Linked DNA regions of Cricetulus griseus. The main gene of each other region encodes a partner of the protein of the gene in region 2 in a complex. Links are inferred from orthologs where the notes say so. Each region holds a gene or a part of one and is shown on either strand. Other genes may lie near its edges.

The links. The genes of interacting proteins can lie anywhere in the genome.
Region 1: Ripk3 (region 2) and interferon-inducible protein AIM2 share a complex: the UniProt entries of both Homo sapiens proteins name them as parts of the AIM2 PANoptosome complex. The link is inferred for Cricetulus griseus from reciprocal best matches to the Homo sapiens genes RIPK3 and AIM2.
Region 3: Ripk3 (region 2) and Zbp1 share a complex: the UniProt entries of both Homo sapiens proteins name them as parts of the AIM2 PANoptosome complex. The link is inferred for Cricetulus griseus from reciprocal best matches to the Homo sapiens genes RIPK3 and ZBP1.
Region 4: Ripk3 (region 2) and Ripk1 share a complex: the UniProt entries of both Homo sapiens proteins name them as parts of the AIM2 PANoptosome complex. The link is inferred for Cricetulus griseus from reciprocal best matches to the Homo sapiens genes RIPK3 and RIPK1.
Region 5: Ripk3 (region 2) and Casp8 share a complex: the UniProt entries of both Homo sapiens proteins name them as parts of the AIM2 PANoptosome complex. The link is inferred for Cricetulus griseus from reciprocal best matches to the Homo sapiens genes RIPK3 and CASP8.

The regions. Positions count from the first base shown.
Region 1 is NC_048598.1:19,572,058-19,576,115, reverse strand, and holds the start of interferon-inducible protein AIM2, read left to right. Parts: upstream 1-1,258; 5' UTR 1,259-1,407; intron 1,408-2,339; exon of another isoform or gene 2,340-2,358; intron 2,359-4,058. UniProt on the Homo sapiens protein: Sensor component of the AIM2 inflammasome, which mediates inflammasome activation in response to the presence of double-stranded DNA (dsDNA) in the cytosol, leading to subsequent pyroptosis.
Region 2 is NW_023276807.1:210,982,377-210,986,383, forward strand, and holds the start of Ripk3 (receptor-interacting serine/threonine-protein kinase 3), read right to left. Parts: upstream 2,801-4,007; coding exon 2,781-2,800; intron 2,566-2,780; coding exon 2,422-2,565; intron 2,300-2,421; coding exon 1,990-2,299; intron 1,579-1,989; coding exon 1,433-1,578; intron 1,309-1,432; coding exon 1,262-1,308; intron 1,103-1,261; coding exon 935-1,102; intron 832-934; coding exon 764-831; intron 541-763; coding exon 193-540; intron 91-192; coding exon 30-90; intron 1-29. UniProt on the Homo sapiens protein: Serine/threonine-protein kinase that activates necroptosis and apoptosis, two parallel forms of cell death. Necroptosis, a programmed cell death process in response to death-inducing TNF-alpha family members, is triggered by RIPK3 following activation by ZBP1.
Region 3 is NC_048599.1:6,098,758-6,102,846, forward strand, and holds the start of Zbp1 (Z-DNA-binding protein 1), read left to right. Parts: upstream 1-1,289; 5' UTR 1,290-1,421; intron 1,422-1,634; 5' UTR 1,635-1,795; coding exon 1,796-1,835; intron 1,836-3,542; coding exon 3,543-3,779; intron 3,780-4,089.
Region 4 is NC_048596.1:253,842,802-253,846,913, reverse strand, and holds the start of Ripk1 (receptor-interacting serine/threonine-protein kinase 1), read right to left. Parts: upstream 2,801-4,112; 5' UTR 2,663-2,800; intron 2,526-2,662; exon of another isoform or gene 2,371-2,525; intron 1-2,370. UniProt on the Homo sapiens protein: Serine-threonine kinase which is a key regulator of TNF-mediated apoptosis, necroptosis and inflammatory pathways.
Region 5 is NC_048595.1:413,109,832-413,114,088, reverse strand, and holds the start of Casp8 (caspase-8), read right to left. Parts: upstream 2,801-4,257; 5' UTR 2,715-2,800; intron 1-2,714. UniProt on the Homo sapiens protein: Thiol protease that plays a key role in programmed cell death by acting as a molecular switch for apoptosis, necroptosis and pyroptosis, and is required to prevent tissue damage during embryonic development and adulthood.

The DNA of each region.
Region 1 (4,058 bases), on a different chromosome or scaffold from region 2:
ACACGGCCAGGGCTAGGGAAGTTTCTAAGTGAAAGGAACCAATCACACTTTCCACTTTCCATCTCTCAAGACCTGATTTTCATGTCCTACCACTAGCAGTGAAAAGCTTTGTGAGGGAGAGCTTTAAACTATTAGGGCATATACTAATCCCTGAGTTGAGAACTGAGGCTGCTGTGGAGAGGGAATCCAGTAGGTAAGCCTTGTCAGAATTTTTCTAGAAAAAGCTTTAGGATCCTTTTGCTAATAGCAAATTAAGAGGAAATGGAAGTTGTAGGTTTCTGGGGTTGGAAAGGAGCATCAGTATTGACTATGCTCCAGAAAAGAATAAAGCTGCAGGAAGCCTGGTTCTAAACCTTCGCTTGACTGAGGAATAGAAGCTTTTTTTTTTTATTATTATTATTATTTCACCACAACTGAGCCTTTAACAAAAGAACATGCAGTTGGCTGTGGCAGGAATTAGAATATATTGTTCAGAGGGTTGACCCAGACTGCGCCTAAAAAGGAACTCTGATTTTCTGGGAGCCTTGGTCTGTAGGTGTCTTACTGACATGAATTTAATTTATATTTGGAAGAGGGCCTTTGATTTCTAGCTGAAGGAGAAAGAAACATAGGGACTGGAGAGCTATTCCTAGATAAAAGATAGTAACAATGGTGTGGCAGAATGCCTATGATGTAACATTAGCTTGAAAGTGGCAGAGCACCAAACTCTATTATAAGTAACCTTACCATTTAAGAAAAGCCAAGTATAGCCCAGAGGTGGTGGCCCACGCCTTTAATCCCAGCACTTGGGAGGCAGAGGCAGGTGGATGTCTGCAAGTCTGTTGCCAGCCTGGTCTACATATAGTAAGTTCCAGGACAGACTCCAAAGCTACACAGAGAAGCCCTGTCTTGAAAAACCAAAACAAACAAACAAACAAACAAACAACAAAAACAAAACAAAAAAGAAATGCTAAACAGATAACATATTCCATAATCTCAGATGTTCAAGTGGCATGGCATTTATTATTTTTTAAAAATTATGTATGCTTTTTAATTTCTATTTCTTTTAGTTTATTAAGTATGAGAAACAATTTTTAAGTTTCTATAATTTAAATTGTATCTTATTTTTCCTTTTCATAGTAAATTCCTAGAATTTAGAAAGCGATGATTCATATGATAACTATGTTGTTTGAATATACAACTGGCGGTTCGGAAGGTTCTGGTAGTGTTAGGAGGTGGAACTTTCTGAAGAAACCTTATTGGATGAAGTGTACCACTGGGACAGGCTGTCTCACTCTTCCGCTATTTCCTGTATGAGCAAGAACTGAAATTGGCCAGATTCATGCCCTACGTGGCGACCAACCATAATGCCTTCCCTGTCGGCTGCTACGCCTTCCCTGTGGTGTTGAAATCCACGCTCCTGGGACTGTGAGTAAAAATAAACCCACTCCTTCCCTGTGTTGCTTTTGGCTGTCACATTTTATTAGAATACAAAGGAAAACAGTTCGCTGATAACCTTTGTAGACTTATTGAAAATGTGCTAAGTACTTCTAAGTATTTATCAGGACATTATGTTGTTCAACTTTTCTACTTTTTTGCTTTTTTTGGCTATGTGAAACTTTAGTTACTGAAGGAAGTGTTTTGTAATTTCCAACTATCAGAGTAGGTTTGTCATTTGTTCGTGGAGAACTGTCAAGTTTTGCTTAGAGCTGTTAATTTTAACAATGAGGTGCATACGTGCTTAGAATTTCTATGTTGCCTTGGTGACTTTAATGTTTAATCATTGTATAGCAGCTCTGTCCTTAATGACACTATTTGTCTTATTATCTTCTCTGACGAATATTAATATAACTGACCTAACTGTTTTTTTTTTTTTGTGCTTAGTGTCTGACTCATACATATGCTCACATTCTTTGCTTTCCTGTTATTCAGTATTATAATACCCTCAGTGTGTCTTTTGTAAACACCATAATGCCTACAGTGGGTTTTAATCCACCTAGCATTCTTTTTAAAGCTGGGAGTCTAATTTCTGTGAATTCTGTCCTTTGAAATGCTTGGATTTTTGTGTGACCGTCTTTCCTATGGTATTTCCCATCCATGTTTGCTTTCTTCTTTTTAAAAAATATGCTCAAGAGTATTTACGCAGTGATGTGTATTATGCTGGTCATGTTTTCATAAGTCCCATGTTATAAATTTTGTGGGGACAAGTCATTTTTCATTAGTCAAGAATAATGCCTTTTTCATAGGTGTGGACTTTGGGAGCCCAATCCACATAGAGGAATTCTCCCTGAGCCAAGACCCACAGGGGTGGGCCTAGGCCCTATCCCAAAGGATATGGAACGCCTCACCCTCCTGGGGAGGAGAAAGGATATGAGATAGGTAGGGTTTTGGTTGGGGGGATGGTAGGGGAGGAGGGGAGGGAGAGGAAACTGGGATTGACATGTAAAACAATCTTGTTTCTAATTAAAAAAAAGAATAATGCCTTTTTGAGATAGCTTTTGGAGAAATCATGTAAGATCAAGTTTACTACTTCAGTGAAGTGAACTTGCATACAGTTAGCTAAAGGGAACAATCCAGTTCCGTTAGTACTGTGTACCTTCCCCTGAATCTAGAAACACTGCTTCTATTCATCTCTGTAATTCATAGGTTGCTTCAATGTTACCTTCTCAAAGAGACGTAGTGTGACCACCTAATCTGAGTCTTACCACATACCCCCAGCCCACATCCTTATTGCATACTATCTACTATGTAAATTTACACTTTTCAGAATAATAATGAAGAAATCTTACCTGATTGGTGACTGATTTCCTCAAAGACTTGCAAGGTGCCTGACTGGACAGAATGAGCTGATGTGTGAACAACTGCTTGATTTACTAGTTTATTTCATAAGTGCTGATTTTTTTTTTTGTATTTCTTTAGAAAGGAATTTTAGATGGTTTTGCACCGTAGGGGTTGGCTGTTTAGTCACAGACAAGTTTGCAAGGAAAGTAGCGCAGAGTGAAGGTCCTTAGGGATACTCCCATGAAGCAACTGTATGTTCTGGGCGTGGGGGAAGCGTGGCCCATCCTGCTGCAGTGGGTCTCAAAGGAGGGCATATTGGCATAGGCATGGCACTGTGTGGCTTATAGAGCTCTATCTGCCATGCTGCTTATTAAATCCTCACATTTATCTCCTATTATCTACATTTAACTGATGGGGAACCAACCCCATCAGATAAATACAAATCAGGCAGTGTCAGAGCACATTACTCTCCTGGCTTGGTGCCACATTTTTTTTTTTTTTTTTTTTTTTTTACTGGAGTGCTTTTCTAAATTAAATCTGGACACCCACCTGTTAGCTGTGGGTTTTAGAGATTCTTAAGAAGGTGATTAAGAAGAGACTCTTAAGCAACGGCAAGCAGTGACCTGAAGTGGAGCAGCTCATCGTGAGGACAGGCTTTAGGCATCTGCCGTCCATCTAGAATCTAACGGGAAGGAATGGACATTTGCTGCAAGACTTTCCTAAGAAGGAGACAAATTCTGACATTTAAGTCTCTTGCAGTTTCTTGCTCTCCCCATAGCATGATAAATATAAACTTCAAACTATAATAATAGCATATGTTGAGCACACCAGGTGTCAGGGATGCTTCATGGATTGCCTGCTTATGAAATCAGTCACATCTCACGTGGAGTCTATGCAGTAGGGACTGTCAGGCAGGGCTTCATCAAAGAACTAGAAAACGCCTTTGATTCCCATCTTAGAGCTAGAAAAGGAAAGACATGGAATTCTAACCCAAGTATTCTCTGTACCAGGAAAGTAGAGACCAATAGAAATATAAACAAGTACATACATTTAACTTTTCTTTTTTTTTCTATTAGTTCAAATTAAGAACAAGCTTGTTTCACATGTCAATCCCTTCTTCTTCTCCCCCCCCCCAACATCCCAGCTGCCCCTAGCCATCCCCCCATCTCTCCCCAGGCAGGGTAAGGCCCTCAAAAGGGCTCCCCAACATTTAACTTTTCTAGTAGCTACATTAAAAACAAAAACAAATAACATCAACCCAATATGTTTGATTAACATCAAAAGTACCCAAAATGTGT
Region 2 (4,007 bases):
GGGAGCAATAGAGGGTGAAGAACAGGTACCTGCTGCTGGATTTGGCCCTGGGGCCCTGGAGGACCATTGGGTGCCATATCTTTCATATCCCTGCAAACAGCACAGAGTTCTCAGGCTTTCTATTCAAGAGGCTAGTTCCATCACTGTGCACCCCTCAACCCTAAGTTTTCCTTGGTCTTGCCAGTGTCTCACCTCATTCCTTTGGGGGTTAGGACCTGGGGTCTCGGCAGAGTTTGGGCCGGGTGTTGGGCCTCTGAAGGGTATAGTATGTGGCATCTGGGGAGTTCCAGCCACTGTATCTGAAGATGTCACTGCTGCTGTGGCATGCCCAGTTGGTTCTTCCTGGGTTCTTCCCCTCTCAGTAAGGTGTGTGCCCTTTTCAGGAACCGGCCTGGGGGACCCCTCCAGCTGCAGATGGTCCAGCATTTCAGAAACTGTGCTTTCCCCAGGGCTATCCATTTCTGCACCGCTAGGGCCTGGCTCTAGGACAGACAACTTAGTGTCGCTGTTTCTGCGCCGCCGAGACAGATACTGCTTTACCTGCACAGATGGGAGTTAGGGGAGCCAGAGTAAGCCCCAGGGGAGTATCCTCTTGATTTCTAATCTGTTACCTGGAGGGAGACTCAGAGGTAGGTTGGGGTGGGCAAGAATGATGGCCAAGAATTAAAAAACAAGGGCAGTGAAGACACATTGGACGGTCAAGGGAGCCACATGTGCCATTGCTGAATAGCTCCTGGGCGGAAAGGCAGTTTTGAAAACTTACCTCGGAGACAGCAGCATCTACCTTGTCCTGTACCAGGATGTAGGTATCATTGGTTTTTGGTCGGCAATCTGAAAGACAGCCAAGTGAGTTGTAGGAGAGCAGAGCTTTCCTTGGGTGAAGCTTCCTGCCTATTCAAGCCTATTCTAGCTGCTAGAGAAACAGCCAACTCACCCTGGAAGGATGGCCTGTCCTTGGGCTCAGGACTCCAGCAATGTATCATTAACTCCTTCAGTACTTCCAAGCCAGGAGTCTCAGGGCTGTGTGGAGGCAGTTCTGACAATGCTGGTCGATTGTGCCTTTCACAGATTGCGTCACGAACTAGTGATGTCTGGTCTACCACTGGAGTGGGGGGGGCGGTGATAACAGAAGGGGTTGGTGGTATGAGGAGACATATCATGGACAGGAGCAGGGAGTGCCATCTAAGGAAGGGGTGAGGTGGGAAGGGGGCAGCTGAGTAGATAAGGGTGAAAGAGTATCAGAGTCCATCTAGAGTCTTACACTCGGCTTCTCTTCCAGCCAGCACTGCCCACATGAGGATCCCAAAGCTGCACAGACACAAAATGGAGGCTTAGCTGGCCCACGGCAAGATCACTTTCCCGTATCACATCCTTTAGAAGGGCTCAAAGAAGCGTAGAAATAATTTGGGATGTTTTGGAGTGGGTAGCTTACCTGTAGACGTCACTGGCTGGGGAAGCCTTCCGGTTGACATTAACCAATAGCTCTGGGGCCAAGTAAGCTAGGGTACCCCCTGTATTCCTGGACCCTGACCCTGACTGTGACCCTCCCTGAAATGTGGACAGTCCAAAATCTGCTAGCTGTAAAGGAAAGGAAGAGGGAGGCATTAGATGAAGGGGGCCAGTCCTTCTCCAGAATCTTCCCTCTGTCTCCTCCAGAAGATGCAGCCTCAGCTTTTTGAAGGTGGTATTGAGGGCCAGAGGGAAAGGCAGAGTCAATGAGGCCTAAGGGAGGAGATCTAAGTTGCTGATGGGTCTGGGTCTAAGTACGTCAGAGTTTCTGGGATAAGTCAGCCTGGGTCCATGGGGTGGGGGTGGGGGGCTTTGTGGAATAGGCCTGTGGAACTGACCCAGGTGGGTAAGGAGGGCTCTGTCACCTGGTATGGCCATAGATAAAATTCCTGGTTGACCTGCGTAGTCTGGTATTCAGAGGGACAGACCGAGGGTATTTAGCATGGTCCCAAGCTTGCACTAGGGTGTAGATGGGCTGACCTTGGCGTGGAGCTCTGAGTCCAGCAGGACATTGGAGGGCTTGAGGTCCCGGTGCAGGAGCACTGGGTTCAAGCTGTGCAGGTAACACATCCCCAGCACCACTTCTTGCAGCAGGCGACAGAGGAGAGGCCAGGGCCGAGGGCACCAGGGCTGCAGCAGCCTGGCGACGGAGCCGTTCTCCATGAATCCTGTCACCAGAGCCGGCCCAGACACGTAGTTCCACTCGAGGTTCTCGGTGACCCCCAGCAGGAGCAGCACGTGCTGGTTACGAAGATTCGCCATAGCTTTCACCTCCCTGGATATCGCCTCCCTACACTCCGAAAGGGAGCCACAGTTGGGTGGGACCCTGGAAGACCTCCCCCCCCACCCCCCACCCCTACTTGTCCCTTCAGGCTCCTTGACCAGATCCTGCCTACAGCTGGGATCACTCACCAGTTCACGATCTTGACTGCAACATCATGGCCCCATTTTTTGTGATGTGCACGGAATACTACACCGAAACCGCCTTTGCCTACAAACTTCGGGTTCTTCAGTTCTTCACGGGACACGAGAGAGGCCGCCGAGGCATCAAAGGGCCTGAGAGAAGGTTCTCGTCCGGAAGGGGGCCCATCTCCACGTCAGCGCATCCTCTGTCACCCGAGCTCCGCGGCTGCCCGCTGGGCAAGTGTGTCAGCACCCCGCCCCCCCCGACACCCCGCGGCCCACCCGGACCGGCAAAGCAAAAGCGCCCCCTGAGTGTGTCCCGGAGTGTCCTTGTGGAGCTGAGGATCCAAGGCTCACTCCCCACTCACCATAACTTGTCAGAAGACATCAGGAGCTAGCGGCTTCCCGGCGGCGGCGGCGTTATGTGCACAGAAAGAGCGGGAAGGACGTCTACCGCTCGGCTCGGGGTTTGGGCTTAGAGGAAGACAGGGCCTGCAAAGGATTGATCTATATTGGTCCAGGCACGGAGGTCCAGGTCCCGAATTCCGCTTCCCAGGTCGTTCTCCTACTTCGAATGAGTTACTGAACAACTTCCTTCATAAAGTTAAAGGGCGGGCGCTTCTGCGGTCCTGCCCCCGGGGTGGGGCAAATGGAAACTTGGGGCTGTTCATTCTGTGCACCTGCTAGAACTGCTTCCACCTGAGGAGTAACTGGGCACTACTGAGTGTGCTCCGCACAAGAGTTTGTCTTCGCAGCTTGCCAACCACAGTGGGCTGAGGGGAGGATGAAGATTTTATGGTCTTAGACTCAACTCTCCAGAATCATGGGTAGTGCTTCTAATAAGGCTTGCCTTGGACCAGGTACATACACATAATGGCTTCTTTAATTTTGCATCAACCTTATTTACCTTTCTATAGACCAGGAAATCCAAGCATTTGCAATTTATGGAAATAGCTTAGAAGCTGGTTCTGTTCCACCAAGCTAGCCCTTATTTATTTATTTACTTAGAGAGGGGGGGTCTCTCTATGTAGCCCTGGCTGGTCCAGAACTTGCTATATAGACCAGGCTGAACCTGGATTTACAGAGGGCCACCTGCCTCTGCTGAAATTAAAGGTGTGTGCCACCATGCTTGGCTTATTTGTTTATTTAAAAAATTTATTTATGTTGTGCACATCCATGTACATGGGGGTGGGTGAATTTAATGACATGTGTATGGAGGTCGGAGGACAGCCTTGGGGGTTTGGCCTCATCTTACACCTTGTTTGAGATAGGGTGTCTTTGTTGTTCTCTGCTGTTTGCACAATGCTAGCTAGCCTGTGGATGTCCCAGCATTCTCCTGTCTCTGCCTTTCATCTTACTGTAGGAACACTGGGACACAGACATGGGCTGCTGTTCCCAGTTTCGCTTGAGTTGTGGGATTTGAATTCAGGTCCTTGTGCTTGCACGATGAGAGCTTTACCCATTAAGCTGTCCTCCCTGCCCCGTCCTCAAGCTCAAGCTAGTTTATTTTTTGCAAATGCTATCTAAGTGTGCCTGAACAGGTGCAGGTGGCTGGGGATGGTGTGATGCGTGCAGCAGTGTGCTCTTGGAGTTCT
Region 3 (4,089 bases), on a different chromosome or scaffold from region 2:
CTGGGTCCTCTCACACCAACCGTGATAATTCTCTCACAGACACATCCACAGCCAATCAGACCTGGGCAACCCTGCAACCGAGACTCCCTCAGATGGCCCTGTACTCAGCTGCCTGCTGAAACTGCCTAGGATACCCGTCCTTTGCTCCTTCCTGCCAGAAGGAGAGCATGTGTGACAGGTGGAACTCCAGCAACCCTTGAAAAACTTAAGCACAGAGGCTACAAATGGCAGAGCAACAGTTTAAAAAGAAGCCGGGTGGCTGCACCAAATCTGGAGTACCTGGAGTCTTGTGTCATGCACAAGAGGGAAAAGGTCCATCTGCCCAGTCCACAGCTGTGGAGGCTTGGGATAATCCCAGCATTGAAAATTGGCTTGAGGTTTTTCTTAAACAAAGACAAAGAATAAGAAATAATCCAAAAGTTTAGAAGGATTTTGGCCAGGCAATGGTGGAGCACGCCTTTAATCCCAGCCCTCGGGAGGCAGAGGCAGGCGGATCTCGGTGAGTTCCAGGCCAACCTGGTCTACAGAGCGAGTTCCAGGATAGGCAGGGCTACACAGTGAAACCTTGTCTGGGGGGACGAGGTGGGGGGTTGTCCAAGAGGTATTGTGATACAGTCCTGCCACTCAAGAAATGATAATGGAGGGGTCAAGAATCTGAATTCAGGCTTGGCTACAGAGTGGGACCCTGTCTCAAAAATTAAAAACAATAAAGAATAGGGAATGCTGAGATGTTCACAGCAGAACCCCAGTGTCAGGTTCTCATGGCATGTCCTGAAGCCCAGCCCTCTAGGGCCAGAGCCACCTTGGCCAAGGACCAAGCAAGACCCCCAGGCAAGAGCCGGTTGATGAGAGGGCACCACCTAGTGGTTGGTCCCCAAATAGCCCCTCTAGGGAGCCTGATGTCCCTCAACTGGCTCAGCTGAGTGTTTAAAGGGTGACCTTATTTATTTGGGGGGCTCAACGGGCTGTACAATTTTCTGTTTCCCTTAGCTGCATCTGCAGGCTCTGGGTTTCCCCCTGGAAGTCATAAAAATCATTTGGAAATTTTAAAGTTTCCCCATGCACAGGCCGGTGGAACTGGCTGTGTGGAACTGGCCTGGCCGTGGCCTGTCCAGTGACAAGGCTGACTGGGGACCTGCAGCTTGCTTTGCAGACATTTTGCAGGTACATATATACCTCCTTCTGGTCTCCATTTCCTGCTCCTGTCATGCCCTATGCACTAATGCTAACCGGTGCCAAGGACCTCCCTCCTGCAGCTGGGACCCAGATTCAGGGTTATTGTAGGCTGAGTTGTGGGCACGAGGCCATCTCTGTGAGCTCAGTCCCTTAGTCTGTAATTGGAACAGAGTGATGTCCGAACTGTTCGAGGACCACTGACCTCTTTGAGAATGTATGAAAGTGAGGGGCTCCTTTTCTAGAAGGTATGTGGATGACAGTACTAGTCCTGCCCTGTCAGCAAGTAGGGAATGCGCAGTAGGTACCTTTTTCCTAGTGGGAGTCCAGATAGGCAGTTCCCACCCCAGAGGCCAAGACTCCTCTCATCCCCGTCATTTATTCAGCTCCAACTTGCTCACCCCACCCTGATTTCAACGTTTCTTTCGAGAACCACCAAGTTTCATTTTCTCTTTCTCCAGAAAGCTGGGTGGATGGAGCCAGATGGGTGCTCGTTTCCGGGGTGGAAACATATGGTGTCTGCAGCTCCAAGAAGCCGCTCTTCTTCTGTGGACACGGCCTCAGGCCTGGCCACAGTTCGGGAATCTGCCACCCCCCGCCCCAAAGGTGCCCTGAGGTTGCCATGAGCATGGCAGAAGCTGCTGTTGATCCGAGCACAGGAGGTAAGCCGGGCGAGCCTCTTCCTTCCCCCACGCAGCGTGGACCCTGGGCTGGTTTCTAAGGCTCCTTCTAATTCTTTGCTTGGCCCAGACAGCAGCAATATTCTGAGGACATCAGAGCTCAGGAAGCAGGCACCACAAGAAGCTAGCTTGCTTCGGGGACCCTGTGCGTCACACTTTGACCCTTGCTTAGGCTGGTTCCTAACAGCCCTCAGGCACAAGTGGTAGCTCTCACCTCACAGACAGGTCACTGAGGCCTTCGATGGGCTTCAGGCTCTGAACTGTGAGAGGGGACTTTGTTTTGATAAGAAGATTTGGCTCTGATTCTATGTTCATGCTCTTCTCTCCGCTACAGGGCAGTGCGAGGCTGTGGGTGAAAGACTGTATGAGGCGAGGCTATCGGGGCCGTGCAGCTGTGGACAGGATTTACTTTACTGCTTTTCTTCATTGTTTCGAAACTTTTTTTAAAGATATGCTTATTTACTGTGTATACAGTGTTTTGCCTGAATGCACGGCTGTGCTCTGGTCAAAGAAGCACCAGGTCTCATTCTAGGTGATTGTGAGCCGCTCCGTGGTTCCCGGGAGCCACACTCAGCACCTCTGGAAGGGCAGCCACTGCTCTTAACTCCTGAGCCATCTCTGCAGCCCCCAAAGTCACCCTTTTCCATTCTCGCACCATGCTAGGGCATGTTGCTCAAAGGCAGAGGAGCCAGGGCAGTGGCAGGTTCAGGGCCAGGTGGAGAAGACCAGAAACTAACCCTCACCTGGTCCCTGTGGCTTCCTAATACTCTCCTTGCCAGCCAGTCACCACCATCCATTCCTTCATGCTCACCCTTTGGAGAAAGCTCTGCCTGTGTGCCCTTAGGAGTCAGTGGGAGAAGGGAGGGCAGGAGAGCCCACTGCAGGACATACACGCCCCAGCAGAGAAAAAGCAAGCAGAGTGGAAGCCCAGCCCTATAATCCCAGCAGGGGAGGGGGTGGCTGAGGCAGGAGGATTGCTGTGAGTTCCAGGCCAGCCTGAGATATATGGTGAGACCTTGTCTCAAGAGGAAAAACAAAGGAAGGTAGAAGCAGGCAGATGGAAGGAACCAGAAGGAGCACGAGGTGGAACTTGGGTGGCTCTTGGGGTCAGGCGCAGAGGAGGCTGGGCAGGGAGCAGAGGTCCATCGGATCTCTAGGTAGAGGGTGCTGGAGGGAACCATTCTGGAGTTGGTGGTCACCTGGGAGACTAGTAATGCTACCAGGAAGATGTCATTGAGGCTGGGGTAAGGGAGAAAAAAGTAAGTGGGAGGTATCTGAGCTGCGTTTTCAGGGCTCCTGATCCACCTGGAATGGGAAGGGAGACCTAGGAATGCCCATGGCATCCATGGGAGATGGAGAGAAAGGGACTCTCCATACAGGCTGGAAGAGGCACCAGGCAGCGTGGAGGGGCTTCCGGGCCAGGCTTGGCTCCATCATCTGAGAGCTGAGGGCTCCTACCTGTCTGGGGTTCCACACCAATACACAGGACAGCATGTACACTCCTCTGCCGTATGAGTGCATCCCACCATTCAGCCATGGGGCCAGGGTCCACTCAGTCTGACACTCTTGCCTCTCAGTGATTCCTCGATGCTGTCGGCTCTGGGTTCTCGTATCTTTCTTACCTCTGGAGATGGGTGCTAGCCTCCAATGGGGGCTGGGCTTGACTCTTCTCTCTGTTCCTCCCCCAAGACAATCTGGAGCAAACGATCCTACAGATACTGAGTGGAGCCGGCGGCTCTGTGAAGCTCCCCAAGCTGGTAAAGGAGTGCCAAGTGCCCAAGAAAACACTCAACCAAGTCCTTTACCGCCTAAAGAAGGAGGGAAAAGTTCACTCACCAGCCCCTGCCACATGGTGTTTAGGCAGGGATGCTCCTGGAGATGAGGCTCCTGCAATCCCTGAGGACCCCACTGCCCAGCCCACCCTCGGTAATCTGTCATTTGGGGGCACAGCAGACTCCCCTCAAGGGCCATCTTGACAATGGGCAAGTCCAGGTTCAGGCTTGGCTTTCAAATCTGAGCTCTGCCATCCTCTCTTTATCTTTTGATTTCTTTTCACCAATAGGGCTTGTACGTGGTAGGTGTGAGGTAGACACTAGCAATAGTAAAGGCACAATCCAGGCAATTGTCACAATGACAGTAGGGATTCACTCGGAGCCACTGAGCAGAGAGGGCTCACAGCTCCATTGCTGATGCTGTACCCAAGGCCACCTAGCCTTCAGCAACTCCTGCAGTTGGA
Region 4 (4,112 bases), on a different chromosome or scaffold from region 2:
AAATCCTCCTTTGGTGGATATTCAATTATTTCTTTCGTGCTTTTATTTTTTTCCCCTTGAATGATTCAAGTTTATGCTGCTGTTTTCTGGCAGGCTGGAGACAGAACCCAGGGCCACACACATGCCAGTCAAGTGCTGTGCTGATGAGCCCCAGTCAACTTATAAGCAGTGTATTTTGAGAAAGCCATGTGGGCAGTGTACTGAGGAAGACCCAAGGACTGCAAAAACACTGAATGTAAGGTAGAAAGCCAGATAATCAGTGCTTTAAAAATTAACTAAGGTATGTTGACCTGTTATAGAAAGCCATAACTAATTTCAACTAATACCATGTCCTTTTCAATGGGATTTGCTAGTGTTTTGGGATAAATGATTATTAATGCAGAAATAGGATATATATATATATATATATATATATATATTAAATAGTATTACATTTGAAAATATATAGTATTTATTTATTTACTATATTATAAATATAGTACTATTTATAAATTATATAAATAGTAAATATACACTATTTGAGTTCAAGCTTACTTAGTGAATTCAAGGTCAGTTAGGACTACACAGTGAGACCTTACCTCAGGAAATGTGTGTGTGTGTGTGTGTGTGTGTGTGTGTGTGTGTGTGTGTGTATACAAACCCCCCCCCAATGGCTGGACTCCCTTTAAACCCAATTAATTTTCTCTTAAATTTGCAATGACAATCATATATAATAAGAGCAGGAGGACAGAGAATCAGGGAATGAGAGAATATCAATTGAGTATTGTTTCCCATGTCTTCCCTAACAGAATTCTGACTTTACTCAGGTATGTGACACGATCAGGAGCCATCTCCAGGATTCTTTAATTAAAACAGTCTGTGCTTCGTCCACAAGCAGGGCAATGAACAAGGAATCAAACCATCAACAAAAGACAAAGTTAGAATAAAATTCAATGAAGCATGATCAAATACATTAGCACACTGTGACCCGTGAACTAATCTTATTAGGACTATTTTCACCTTACAAATAAAGAAACTACAAGTTGAGGTTAAGTGATTCACCTGAAATGAATGGATTCAAACCTTACCCTTCTCAGACTTCCACTCTCAGTTCTCTAATACATGCTGCTTTCTAGAAAGTCAAATAAAAATTTGAAAACCCCAGATGTAGATCAAACCTCAGATGCAAAGACCGAATTGTTGCCAGGCACAGTGATACATGCCTTTAATACCAGCACTAAGGAGGCAGAGGCAGGCAGATTTCTGGGAATTCAAAGCCAGTCTGGTCTTCTACATAGTTAGCTTTAGAATAATAAGAATTACATAAAGAAACCCTGTCTCAGCTGGCGTGGTGGTGCACACCTTTAATCCCAGGACTGAGAGACAGAGGCAGGTGGATGGATCTCAGAGTTCTAAGTTTGAGGCCAACCTGGTTTACAGAGGGAGAACCAGGATAGCGAGGGCTACACAGAGAAACCCCTGTCTTGAAAAACAAAACACACAAAATTAATATTATCCATGTCTTCACAGTAAGACACATATGCCAGAATAATATCCAACCAAAGTGTGGGAAACTATACTTTTTGATTCAATTCCAAGATTCTACTGGTGATATTAACATGTTATGAACTAATAAGTAGTAGAACCATTCCCAGTTTGCAACAGTCATGAAAACTTAACATTATGTACAAGGCTCAAAACAGGAAAGAAAGAGAAAAATGAAAATTAAAGTTGGTAACTGTTACTGCTACTTTTCAGTAATAAAACAAAATAAGTTTCATTTTAAACAAAACTAGTCTTCATTTTTTATATACAGCAAAGCCTTAGTGGTGTCTTCCCAGTGGGTACAAAATTACACGACTAAATCATTACATCTCAAAGTTCACACTGCCATTGAGTTTTCATGAGCTAAGAAAGAATTAATAGCTTTCTAAAGATTGAAGGACTTTTGTGGAATTTCCTGATTAAAACAGCCTCACTCTGCCCCAAATAAATGAGCAAGGAAATCAAAATGACCTACAAGAGGCAAAGAATGAGCCACCCTGGACCGAACCATCCAACCCCAGGAGGCTCTGTCCAACACCGGTGGAGAGGATGTGGCTTATCTTCTTCAGAACCCAGAGGGGGCTGCAGCAATCCACAAAAGCAAACGCCACTGAGGACCAGAGGAGCCTTGGACGTTTGACACTGTTCTCTCACTGAGGACGTGGATCGCTCCTCATTTGCTAGCTCACCTCTGAGATAATGATGAAAGCTACCCATAGCTCTGCAACCCCCTGCGGCCGAAGTACAACGTGGTTGGCAGGTCCAAAACATTTAGGCAACCTTGTTAGAGCACTAACGCTTCCATAACCCATCACCCCTACCAAAAGAATAGTGAAAGAGAAACACCTGTCGCACTGTCACTCCACAACCGTGGTCACGGCGCAGATGTCCACTTTCTGTCGCGACTTGAGCTAAAACCACCTCAAAAAGAGTTCAACCTCCCGCTAGATGACACCCAGCAACTCCCGCGCCTTTCGACTTCCGGGTATGCTGGCGGCCCCGCCCATCACCCGCTTCCGGAAAACGAGGCCCGCCCTCCGGCCCACGCGCTGGAATCCCGCGGTCGCCGCCCCTTCCGGGAAGCCAGCTGCGGAGGAAATGAGCGGCGGACCCTGCCGCGGCCTCCGCGCTGCCTTACCTCAGAGTTACTTTCCTTTTCCGCGGCCAGGCACTCCGGCCCAGGTGAGCACACCGACCCGAGGGCAGGGGCGACAGGAGCTGCGCCTCGCCGTGGCTGCCCAGCCAGGACGGCTCCTGGGCCGTGCGGAGGACGCAGGGACCGAGCTCGGTGCAGGAGTGGCGCCCAGCCGCGCCCAGGCTCACCGGACACCGCGCTTCTCTGAGCGCCCGCGCGGCCCTGCGACCCCCGCGAGGTGAGCGGCACCGACACCCGCGCTCGCGACGCCTCTCCGGGTCCGCTCGTCCTCCTACACCGGAGCTTCGCTGGGTGGGGCGGCGCTAGGCTGCGTCCGCCTCTGTCTCCGCCTCTGCTCACGCCCCGGGGCGGTGAGTGCGGCAGGGCCCGCTGGGCAGTGAGTTCCGCCGATCACGACGGTTCCCACGTCGATCCCGGAGGCCTGCCCGCGGAAACGATGCCAGTTCTGCTTTGCTTTTCGGCTCGTTCTGAGAGAGCCCTTGAAAAGAGGTGCTCCTAGCTGCTCTGTCAGGGCTGAGTCACCCTGGCCAGCTGGAAAACACCGAGTGCGACAGTGGCGATTGAGAGCTGGCAAATGAGCCTTCATCTGCCACGGCGGGCTGTGGAGGACGAAATGTGATTATTTTGTAGCCCTCTGAAATGGTAATTGTGAAATCTCAAGGCCAAAAAAAACAAAAAGTGTTATTACTGGTGTCATTAAGTTGCACGATAATGCAATGATCACTTATTCTCAAAAGATAATTAGTGGAAAGAGAGAGGATTACAAAAGACATGATAAAGAAGTCTTACTAATGCATGCACACAACCACCATCTTAAGAAAATTCACAACCATTTTAACAGAAACCTAAACATGCAGATAACATTAAAAAGATGTTCAATGTCATAGGGCATTATGGGAAACTCACCTTTGACTCAAAGTAAACATAAAATGCCCAACATTCACAAATGGAAGGAATACAGAATGTTACCTTTACGGTTACTGTGTGACTTAGCAGTTTCACACACTGGCATGTACCCAAGTGAACATAAATTTGATGAACAAACACATGTACCTAGGTTGAGCTTTTTTGTTGTTTATTTGGAGGGGCTTGAGGGTGTGTGTGCAAAAGTGCGCATATGTGAAGGCCAGAAGACTACCTCCAGTATCTCCCTCTAAGTACACACCTCTTTTTTTTTTTTTTTTTTTTTTTTTTTTTTTTTTTTTTTTAAAACAGGAAAGGACTCACTTACCTTTCGTTTGTGTAGTAGGCTAAGTATTCTGGTTAGTGAGCCTCAAGAACCTGCCTGTCTTTGCATCTCTGGTCTTGGCATCATGAGTGTCACCATGGCCAGGGTTTTTTTTTTTTTTTTTTTTTTTTTTTTAACACAGGTTCCAGGGATTTGAATTCAGATCCATTATGTTTGCCTGCTTGCTGAAGGAGCCCTGAGCTG
Region 5 (4,257 bases), on a different chromosome or scaffold from region 2:
TTTTATGTGCATTGGTGTTTTCTCTGCATGTATGTCTGTGTGAGGGTGTCAGATCTTGAAGTTACAGACAGTTATGGGCTGCCATGTGGGTGCTGGAAATTGAACCTGGGTTCTCTGGAAGACCAGTCAGTGCTCTTAACCACTGAGCCATCTCTCCAGACTCAGCCTTATTAAATTTAGGATGGTTTGAAAGTTCAAATTTCTGAATGTACTCCTATGTCCTTAGGATATTTTCCTGTAAGTAATATTACAAGATCAAGAAATTACATTAATAAGCCTTTTCAGTTGTCACATATTCAACAATATTTTCTCTTATTTTAAAGCTTGTAATTGTTTTAATTGGTTAAGCATGTTCTTTGACCATTTCATAGGTGTACATATGTTTATCCTTGTCACCCTCCCTCTTCCTCACAAGTTTCCTTCCCACGTTCATGTCTTTTTAACAGCATTTTCTTACAGAAAAACAAAACAAAAGCACCCACCCATTTTTATCTGAGGCCACTATGACAGTGAGCTTTGACATAATGTGACTGGCCTCTGGCCCTGTGCACATCACAACTCACTCATTTCATCACCTTGGCAATAATGTAACAAACAAGTCCTAACTGTTAACAGGCACTTTTCTTAGCTTCCTAAGACACTCCATGGCCCACAACATTCAGTCTTATTTGGCTGTTTTTGTTTAGGTCACACATGTTTTTCTAGTCATAGCATCCCAAAAGCAATCAGTTTCGTGGAATTTAAGAGACATAAAAAAAAAAAAAAAAAAACTGCTGCTAGACTGCCTGCTCTGTAAGAACAGAGACTACAGAGACTACCTGTGGTCTCGTTTTTTTTTTTTTTTTTTTTTTTTTTTTTTTTTTTTTTTTTTTTTTTTTTTTTTTTATGGGACCTAGACTGAACTCACAGGAAATTACCATTGTTAGTGTTTTTTAAATAATGCTTGCTGCTATGTTCTTCTGTTCCTGGAAACACCTCACAGAGAAAGTATAGAAAAGCATAAAAATCTTTTAAATCCTAACACTTTGAAATAATTCTCTGTTTACATTTGGCATTTTGTGCTGAAATTTATTCACATTTCTGCCTAAGTGTGTAAGTATAAATAAATTTGAGAAGTTGGTCATATCATGTATATGTGCTATTATTGCCGTCAAATAATCTCATTAAATATGCTTGCACACTATAATATACAAGAGCATTTAATATTTTATATATGTATGACCTATAATCTTTCAATGGAAGTAAATGTCTGTTATGACTTGTAAGTGTTCAGAAGCATCCATATCAGCATACAACATTTCTCTTAATTCATTTTACAAGAAGACTTCATTTTACTACTGCCTTAAGTCACAACTTAGATCACCTAGTCTGACATGGGCTCAGATTCCCATGTGTCACTCAAGGGCTTCAACAGCACACACCATAAAAACATAGAATTTTTGTAATACCAGCCAACCTATCCTGGCTGCTTGGTGAGTTCCAGTCCAGCAAAAACCCCAGATAGAAAGCACATGAAGAAAACACACACACACACACACACACACACACACACACACACACACTCATAAAAAGATATACTATTTTATTCTATTTACTATTAGATGCAACAGAAAAACAAATAATCATATTTTCAAATAATCAAAATTTTCAGAAATATTAAAAGTGAAAAAAAGAAAAACGGGAAAAAGCTGTTCCTTGAATGTGGCTGGCCCACCATTGAGGAGCAAGGAGTAGTCTACCTTAGAGCGGAAGCTCACTCGGGCTCTGCCACGTGCCTCAGTTGACTGTCTAATCACTATCCTTCCTTGAATAATAGGCACAGCCCGCTCCTCCCGTGACTTAGAGAACTATTTCCACTTAGAGAACTACCTCCAATATGCCGGGTGGGAGCATAAAATGCAACTTGCTAGGACTTTCCAGGGATAAAAGTTTACAGTCATCCAAAGGCTCTCTCAGGCCAAGTGTAACTGTTAGTGACACCTCTGCCACCAGGCAAGGGAGCTCCGGGAAGTGGGGCTCTAACCAAGCTCTGCCTCTCCAAGATCCTACCACGAAGCCTCTGTAGGCAGGTGTTCCATACATACCAGCAAAGGCAGTCAAACCTCAATAAAATATACAGCCAACGCCATCATTTTCTAATTAAACGTTAAGTGTAAGACGTCTAACCTCGCTGCCAGTACAGATTTCTGAGTTTTTATCTCTCCTTCCTTACTGTTTCGTTCTCCGGACGGTCCTGTTTCTTTTTTAAGAGAAATGATAGGCTGGAGAGGTAGTTCGGTGGACTGCAGTGTGTGTGTGTGTGTGGGTGTGTGGGTGTGTGTGTATTTATATTCAGATCGCTAAGATAGTGTTTGTGTTTGGGGTTTGCATGTGTATATCAGAAAATGTGGGGGCAGGTAAGTGGATCAGGAAATGGAGCGGCCAAGTCAGTTGAAATTTTAAAATTTTGGTTTCTCTTCAAGGAGGTGCCTTCCAATAGACGGCTGTACTTGCTGTGTTCCAGAAACACCAGAAGCACGTCTATGGGGTCGGGTGGGGTGGGGTGGCAGAAGGCCCACAGAGGGCAGCGGGCAGCTACCCACATAGATAAAGCTCCTGGCTTCCCTTCCAGTATTCAAACCCTGAATCCCTCTACAGCCATGTGGACTCCAGATCCCACGGAAACCTAGAAAGTTCTAGAATCATGATCCTTCCCCCTTAAAAGTTCAACTGACCTTATCAGAAACAAACCCGAGCGAGGTCTTCACCAAGGGCACTTGGCTCCCAAGCCCCTTCTCTGGAGTGTGTGGCAGGCAGAGGGAAACCCAGACCTGGAGGCTAGACCTTGTCTACTTCCTGCTCTCCTGGCACAGGCGGTACAGAAGGCAGGAGGAAGAGGGCTGACCTCGGGTATGCTGAGGATCTCCTGTTAGTTCCTTTGTCCCCCACTCTCAAGATAGTTTCACTTCTACGTTCATGCCGTACTCACCAGTTTATGTAACTATATAAAATCTAGGAACCACAAATGATAAAAGCAAATGACATTTGTCTTTCTGAGATTGGCTCAGTTTACTTAATATGATTATCTCAGTTTTTGTCCATTTTCCTGCAAATAATTGTCTTTTCTTTCTTTCTTTCTTTCTTTCTTTTTCTTTTTTTTTTTTTTTTTTTTTTTTTTTTTTTTTTTTTTTTTTTGTTGGTTGGTTGGTTTTGGTTTTTGGAGACAGGGTTTCTCTGTGTAGCGTGGCTGTCCTAGAACTCGATCTGTAGACCCAGCTGGCCTCAAACACAGGGATCCACCTGCCTCTGCCTCCCAAGTACTGGGACTAAAGGCGTGTACTGTCACTGCCCAGGTGGATTTTATTTTTTTATGCAAGATTTTGAATATCTAAATAAGTAATTAAATACTCTTTTCTTTGTGGCTGAAAATTTCTGTTTGTGTGATTGGTGTGTGTGTGTGTGTGTGTGTGTGTGTGTGTGTGTGTGTGTGTGTAAAATGCCACATTTTCCTAATCCATTCCTCTGCTTATAATTGTCGGGTTGGTTCCATAATTTAGCTCTTGTGAATAACTATGGATATGCAAATGTCTCCATGATATGTTGACTTAGTCCTGTGCATACCTGCAGCTGGGTTGCATGGTAGATCTATTGTTAATTTTTGGAACAACCTCAATGTTGATTTTCCAGAGGCCAGCCCAGCTTACAGTCCCATCAGAATGGTAGAAGGGTCCCTTTTATCTAATTTCTTTGGAGCATTTGTTGTTATTTGTTATCTTAATGACTGCTATTCTAATAGGGATATAGTGGAATCTCAATGTACTTTAATTCACACTTCTCTGATGGCTAGTAAAGTGGAGCATTTCTTCACGGATTTTAGCTATTTGTAATTTTTTTTAACCATTTGTTTGTTTATTTGAGAGTGAGGAGCATCCTTGCCACTTGTGGAAGTCAGGAGACAACTTTTGGAAGTCTGTCCTCTTCCATGGTTTGTGTTCTAGGGATGGAACTAAGGTTGTCTGGCTTGATGGCAAGTGCTTTTGCCCCCTTAGTCAAGCTGTATTTCATCTTTTGAGAACCACCTGTTCATTCCATTAGCTCATTTGTTAACTGGGTTTTTTCCATTCATATTGCTTACTATTTTAGTTCTTTGTATAGTCTAGATGCCAATGCTTTGTCAGATACACAGTGTGTAAAGATTTTTTTCTCCCATTCTGTATGCCTGTTTCTTTGCCCAGTTAACATTTCCTTTACTATACGGAAGCATTTTAGTTTCATGAG